Nothobranchius furzeri: one gene and its partner. The protein of the gene in region 1 interacts with the protein of each later gene in a biochemical or structural test. Links are inferred from orthologs where the notes say so. Each region holds a gene or a part of one and is shown in the gene's direction. Other genes may lie near its edges.

Region 1 (3,995 bases):
TTTTACACACGAGCCGGAACTGATAATGGGCTTCCTGCCTGGAATAGGGCCTGGGCGATGGCATTACGTTGCTGTGCAACAACAGAGAAAGTTTCAAACGGAGGGGGGGAAAACAGTAAGGGACTAGATTTATTTTCAGTTCAATTCAATTCAATTTTATTTATATAGCGCCAAATCACGACAAGAGTCGTCTCATGGCACTTCACATAATAAACATTCCAATTCAGGTCAGTTCATTAAGCCAATCAGAAATAATGTTTCCTATATAAGGAACCCAGAAAATTGCATCAAGTCACTGACTAGTGTCAGTGACTATACAGCAATCCTCTAAGCAAGCATGCAGCAACAGTGGAGAGGAAAACTCCCTTTTAACAGGAAGAAACCTTCAGAGAATCCTGGCTCAGTATAAGCAGCCATCCTCTATGACTCACTGGGGATCGAGAAGATAGAGCAGTCACACACACACACACACACACACACACACACACACACACACACACACACACACACACACACACGCACACACACACACACACACACACACACACACACACACACACACGCACGCACGCACACACACACACACACACACACACACAAAGTAATGTGTCTATAGTTATATTGTGATGTCTTAGTAAATATTCTATTTGGTGAGAGATAAACTTTATTGTATGTATCCTAGTGGATCTATAATTAAACGGATAAACTAGTAGTAGCACATCCAACGTCAAGGAAAGCAAAAAGTTATTATCAGGAGAGGGAGAATGTTAAATGACATTTTCATGAAGCTCTGGTGTGAAACTTGATGGGTTTTAGAAGGTGCGCTTGTTCTGGTGTCCTGAAGCAGCTTCGAGCCTCCACCCAGCTCCTACAGCTGTCTGCCCGCCCAGTGCGTGGGTCTGCTCGGAGAGATAACAGCAGAAACGGGCAGGGTGTGCCCGCAAATTCGAGGCGCCTGTCAGTGCATGCGCACGCTCTCTCTGTCTCTTATAAAAGATGACGTAGCGCAGCTCCAACTTCGACTCGCTGTGACGTTGGTGATTCCTGTGGGCGTTGCTGCTCCGCTGCCTAACTTTGAGAAGTGCTGTGGGAGAGAGGAGCGCAGGAATCTGTCGAGCTGAGGCGGAATGTGGCGCGGATTTCGCTGCGCTTTCCTCTCCTCCTTCGCTTTGTTGTTGTGACTGACTTCGGTTGATTTTCGGCGTCATCAAACAGAAACATGCAGCCTGACGCGGAGCTGCGCCCCTGCCGCCTCTAGCAGGCTGTTTACCCGCGTGGAAACGCTCAGTCGCATGTCGTGTTTGCGCAGAAGCTCCGTGCGTAACGCCGCCTCTCCATGGAGGACTGCTGGAGGAGCCGCTCACTGCGATCAACTCTTTAACTGACACTTGAAACGAGATGAATCTAGACCAGGACGGAATCTCATTCCCGGTTCCCAGCTTTTGTTCCGGCAGAGAGACCGTCAGCGGGGAACATCCCAGCAGCACCGGCGCTGGAGGAGGCGGCGGCGCTCCCGGGATCCCAGCAGCCGGGACTTTCTGGCAGGACCCGCTGCTCCCAGGCAGCAGGGTCAGTCCCACCTCCGGGGATGAGCTAATGGAGGGCGGGGGGTTGCTGTCCACCTGTAAGCCCGGTAAAAGCAGACCGGTGACGGTGGCTTACGTGGTGAACGGCGAGGCGAGCCCGCAGAACAACGCGGAGAGCATGGCCCTGCAGTGTCTGAAGGACGCGTGCGACCGGGTGGGCAGCAAACTGGACACTGTCAACTTTGGGAGGCTGGACTTTGGGGAGACCACAGTTTTAGACCGGTTCTACAACGCAGGTGAGTCAAAATTTGTGGGTCCCTAAAGGCCTCCAGTCACGCACGGGTCTGAGGTCACATCTCCTCTGTGCTCACCTCATCTCCAGTAAATCACGTTGCTCTGGGTTCGTCTCGCGCACGCACACCCAGATCGGCATGTCTGGACATGAAGCTTGCAAGTCGTCTAAGCTCAAACAGAAGACATGAACATTCAGGGCTGTTTTTTCCTGTTTCATTTACAAAAGTGGAGGTTTTATTTCTTCAGAGATCCACAGGGTCACTTTCAACTGAAGTCCAGAGATGATCTGATAAACATTTTATCAACTGCAATGCAATACATGCATTTAATTGTATTTTTGCTTATATATTTGTAGTTTGGGGCTCTGCAGCTGATGCATTATAAAATGCTAAAGCGTTGCAGACTCGGTTGTTCATCGTAAAATCAAGGGTCCTTCTGCAGACAGCCAGGATAAAACCAATGCTCCGACCCACACATCCTATTAAAGTAACACATTCAATATTCCAGAAAACAGAAGTTTTATCTAACCCAGCCTAAACACGCTTAACTCCTCTCCCTACAACAGAATTCCCCTTACAGGAGTTTTATCTGAAGGGCAAAAGGGGGAAAATCTGATATTTATTTTATTCTAAAAACAAAATATATGAATCCATTAAGTCTGTTAAGGATGGGAAATGCCACAACTGCTGCAACAGTTGACCAATATTGCAATCACCTACCTGGAACAATTACAACAAATCTGAGGATTCTTCTTTTGAAGAGGTAGAAAATAATCACTTGAGTCATTTATTTATTTCAGTTTGGCTAAATGTATCCAAGAATGATGCAAAAATGGAAGATTTGCTGTTAGAGACTCAGTAAAAAAATTTAATTGATTTCTCAAGATAAATTAACTAACTGGCTTCCAGTCAGCAGAAAATCCAAACGTCAATAATGACATAAGCCTGTAAGTGTGGAGAAATGATAAGTGGATAATTTATACTTTCAAAGTCATATAGGTCTTTATTGACTCATTCTTTCTTATAAATTCCACTATTCTTGTGGGATTTTTCCATATTTAAATGTGCACATTTTTTTTAATCAGCAAAAATAGAATAACAGCTGCTTATTGGAAACATGCATGTCTAGTTCTCTTATGTGTTTCTGCATTATTCACAGCAGAAGAAGAACAGGGCGGTATAATGTTGGGGTGTTGATTATGAAGCCACAATTAAAAACACTTTTTATTGCAGCGAGCTTGGCTAATAATTCTTTAGATAGTTTTAAAACAAACTATTGTTTTTGAGTCATAAAGTAGCGGCGGCGTTCCCCTCGGTGTAAATGACATTTTAAATGTCAAAACTGAGCAGATGCAAGAGATAAATTAAAGCTGGTGCCATTTAAAAAAAAACTGTGTTTAGAGAGGAAAAAGGTGTAAATATGAATGTTCCCTTTCATGTAAATTAAAGCTGTTTTTAGGTTCTAGGCTCGTTTCTGTATCCTGGTGAGATTCACGCAGGAATAGCAGGAAACGTAAAAATTTAGCTACTTTTTCGAGTTGACGGGCTTGTTGCTTCTTGCTGTTCCAGGTGCAATAAGTTCCCCGTGTTCTTTTGTCATCTTTCTCAGAACTACAGAACTCCCGGTGCACCGGGGAGGGCCGAGGCATTTTCCCGGAAAAGTTGCTTTTAGCTGTACTTCTTCATCCGTTTTCCTACGCAAATGTGCACGAGAGGGCACAGAACAATGAGCTCCGAGGACGAGCTGTGACTTCTGACACATTCTAATAGAGGGCGTTCCATGTTGTCCTCCAACAGCCTCCTCACATGATGCTGCGCACAAAAAAGGACAAGTCTTCAGGCTCGGATCCATAAAAAAAAACAAGATAAAGAAGCAAAAGTTTGACTCCATCGTCTTAGTCAGTTCATTCATGTTTCAGTTTTATGCACACGTTTCTTTGTTCTGTTCTCCAAAAGAAAAACAAAACATTTGACATATCTGAGGACTTTATTCTTATCTACATCTTTTACTTGTCGTCAACTCGCTGGCTTACTGCAGTGAGACAATTTTCTACTCAGATTTATATAATTAGAGATTTATGCAGCAATCCTTGGACATGCGGTTCTATTTATATGCGTGTCCCTGCTGCTAAACCCATATTCAGGGATTTTCTGAGTTTTTCTGCAGATTCTGACG
Region 2 (3,514 bases), on another chromosome or scaffold:
AACAGTGGAACCTGATCTGCCTCGCTCAACTGTCTGTAGAGGATTCTGAAGACGTCTGGATATTCGTGGTGTTGGTGTCAGGTTTCGTGCTTTTTGGCCTGAGTGGTTACCTGACTTACCGGAAAATTAATGAGCTGTCGAGGAATATTGGCTCGCTCCCGGAGCTCAGGGATGGATTACACCACGCTGTGAACGCATAAACTCATATAATTGTCGAGATGAGTCGTAAGCTTGGAACTTTGGCTGAGATTCAGACTTTGGCACAGAAGGTGGATTTGATCAAGGAGAAAGTTGACGGATCAGCACGGATTGGGATAGATAAATTACGCCATTACTGGATTTAGAGGGGTTGAGGACCAACAGAACTTTAAGACAGAGAGGAAATGATCTCTGTCTGGCCCCAAAACAAGTTCTTATCTGAATCTGGTGTCCTTGAGCCTGTGAGGCTGAAGAGATTACTCCCCCTCAGAAGAAATGTGGAATGCTGCCATCGCCATGGTAACTCTGTCTCCCTATCCCAGCCTGGGCGGGACTGTGACCGGTGAAGGCCGTTGAATCGCTCTCTAAACCCAACTACCTCCCTCCCCTGTCCAAACAGAGGTGACGAGCGCTGTTTATCATGGCTGCATGCACTGATGTGTGGACAGTCCCCAACCCTACCTCCCCACCTAGTGGACACTTATGTTGTGTAATGTTTGAAGTCTGTTGCATTTCTGTCTGAGGTGTTTTTTACATAGCGAAGCTGCCCCCCTGTGGAGGGTAACTCTGAAGTGCCTTTTTTTTCCTCCACCTGACTCAATCCTTATATATAAACCCTCTGATCTCTATTAAAGTAGCACCACTCGGGTTGCGAATGACCACAGTCACCAATTCTTGTCATGTGTCTATGACTATGTATATATGTCTGATCTCAGAATTGTGTGAACTGAAACTCTAATGTCCCTCTGGGATTAATAAAGTATCTTTGAATTTGAATTGAATTGTCTTTCATAAGATGTTTTTTAAATACTAGTATGCACTGAGTAAAATTAGCATATTTTCTCACAGTGAATTACCTAAGAATTTTCATAAAGCTAAAAGGATAAATTATCAAGTTTTAAATAAAAATGAATGGCAAGTGCTTAAAATAATAAAAGTGCATGTTTTTTCTTTACAATTATAATAAAATTATAATGCACTGATATGAAGTATTTTTGGTTTTAGATAATTCAATAAAAAACAGACCATTTCTTAAAATAAATGCTCCAAAAGTTTTTAATATTTGACAAATAAATAGTTGTAACACCAGGGTTATCAGAGGAAAAGTAACTTAACGTGTGTGCTCCATGAAAGGGGCAAAAGAAATGTTTTTTTATTTTACGTCATTTCAGCGTTGGCATTACATGAACGCGCCCAAAGATACGGGAATGCGCCTGCACGAACCCGGAAGTAAGCAACAACAAACTAGCTTCGTCGCCGCTCACCGAGCAGCGGATTATTATTGACCACAGTGACATTTTAACAGTCTTTGCTTTCAAATATATAAGTCAAATATTTTAATCGAAAAAGTTTGAGATGGGAACTACAGCGAGTCAACTCGGAAAGGCTGACCTGTCAGAATACCAGGTAAGTGTTTATCGTGTTATTTGCTGTAGTCCAGCAAATGCTGAAAACTTAGTTTTACAGAGTATATTTATACTAATCACACTTATCAAAGGTTTTGAGATAAATACGAAATTAGTCAGAATTTCAGCCAGGATAAGAGCAGACGCTTGTTGCATAGAAGCTAAACGTTGGTAATGCTGATAGCTTTGAATCAGAAAGGGGCTTGTTTTGACTTGTACTCATCTACAGTACATCTGATTTTAGGAGCTGACTTTCCTGACTAAACAAGAAATTCTTCTGTAAGTTACAGGTTGTATGACAACTAAGAAAATGTAAACTATTCTTATAGATCATGGGATAGATGTCTGATTTATTCCTGTTTTTTCCTAATAAGTGCTCATAAGAGATTCACTGAGTTGCTCCCCAAAGAGGAAAAAAACTCAACAAATGCCAGAGTTCCAATGACAAAGATTCTCACGCTGCCTGAGCTGAAGGTAACAGGAAATTTCAGTAGAAGTGTGGCAACGTTTCTATTTATTGGTGTAATCTTTATAGAGGAAGTGGATGATCTAATAAAGTGAACTTTGAACTTGTTCTCGTCCTAGTCTAACCCTTTCAAGGAAAGAATCTGCCTGGTTTTCTCAACAACTAACCCAAACGATGGAAGCTTCAGCTTTGACGATTTCCTGGATTTTTTGAGTGCCTTCAGTGACTCGGCTACGTTGGAAATAAAATCCCACTATGCTTTCCGTATATTTGGTAAATGTTGATAAAACACGAGCTGGTCAGTTTTTTCTTAGCTGCACTGATCTTGTCTGATCATTAGCTTTATATTTTCAGACTTTGACAATGATGGGACCCTCAGCTGTGGCGATCTGGAGAAGCTGGTTGACTGCTTGACTTATGAGTCGGAAGACTCGCGTCTAACCACTGAGGAAATGAGACAGCTCATAACTAATGTGAGTTCACTTCGACTGTTTTTTTTCTCTCAAAGATGCAAGAAGCACACTCCAAAGAGATGCTCTGAGGCATCATCTGGGCACAAATGAATCTTGCTTTTGTTTAGATCCTTGAAGAGTCAGACATCGACAAGGATGGGACGGTGAATCTCTCGGAGTTTCAGCATGTCATTTCAAGATCTCCAGACTTTGTCAGGTGGTTTTCCCAAAATAATATCTGACACATAAATCTTGAGGAAATGTTTTCTAATCATCACAATTGTTTTTTTCCCCCCACAGTTCTTTCAAGATTGTGCTGTGAGGCCTTGGAAATGGCCAACTTTTAATTTTGTTTTTAGTGAAAAACTATACTTGCCTTTAAATTTTACTTACTTCTGGATTTTACTCTTATGATTTTATGAATTGTTTGTGAAATTTATATATATATATATATTTTATAACATCTTTAAAATAAAAGTTTAAGGTATTAGATTACTAAAGTTCTTCATTGACACAAATAATTTATTACAAAACATTTTCCACAGCGTAACTTTCTGATGTAATTTAGACTTCCTTGTACGCCGACCAAAGTCCAACGTGGGGGCAGATTCAGGGGATTGTCAGGTATTTTTGAGATCAAGTACTCCCTTCTTGACGGCGGCAGTAAAAGTGTTCCACGGCCCACACACCACATCGACAACATGCAGGTCCTTGGCCTTAAAAAACTCCACACGTCGCGGTTCGTCTAAACTGTTAAATGTCTGGTGTCCAAGTTGGCCGTATTCTCCTGGGGGACAAGAACAGAAAAAGAATAGCTTAATATTTGCTGATAATATATTAAATTTCAATTTGAGTTGATATCCTGTTGTAAGAATAGAACAACTTTATTGTCTGACACCAAGCGGTTACAGAAATTTGTCTTTAAGAGGGCTCATCGTCATCCACCTCATCATTCACACTTTCATAGAACAGTAAATACAATAAAAAATCAT

Evidence for each region. The genes of interacting proteins can lie anywhere in the genome.
Region 2: the proteins of map3k5 (region 1) and calcium and integrin-binding protein 1 form a complex in vitro, tested with the Homo sapiens proteins (2 studies listed by BioGRID and IntAct). The link is inferred for Nothobranchius furzeri from reciprocal best matches to the Homo sapiens genes MAP3K5 and CIB1.

Annotation. Positions count from the first base shown.
Region 1 is NC_091742.1:11,510,398-11,514,392, reverse strand, and holds the start of map3k5 (mitogen-activated protein kinase kinase kinase 5), read left to right. Parts: upstream 1-1,186; 5' UTR 1,187-1,398; coding exon 1,399-1,822; intron 1,823-3,995. UniProt on the Homo sapiens protein: Serine/threonine kinase which acts as an essential component of the MAP kinase signal transduction pathway. Plays an important role in the cascades of cellular responses evoked by changes in the environment.
Region 2 is NC_091744.1:74,254,111-74,257,624, forward strand, and holds calcium and integrin-binding protein 1, read left to right. Parts: upstream 1-1,342; 5' UTR 1,343-1,554; coding exon 1,555-1,605; intron 1,606-1,848; coding exon 1,849-1,883; intron 1,884-1,978; coding exon 1,979-2,078; intron 2,079-2,189; coding exon 2,190-2,343; intron 2,344-2,424; coding exon 2,425-2,543; intron 2,544-2,650; coding exon 2,651-2,739; intron 2,740-2,822; coding exon 2,823-2,844; 3' UTR 2,845-3,014; downstream 3,015-3,514. Other genes in the region: RCC1 domain-containing protein 1, read right to left, coding at 3,143-3,309. UniProt on the Homo sapiens protein: Calcium-binding protein that plays a role in the regulation of numerous cellular processes, such as cell differentiation, cell division, cell proliferation, cell migration, thrombosis, angiogenesis, cardiac hypertrophy and apoptosis.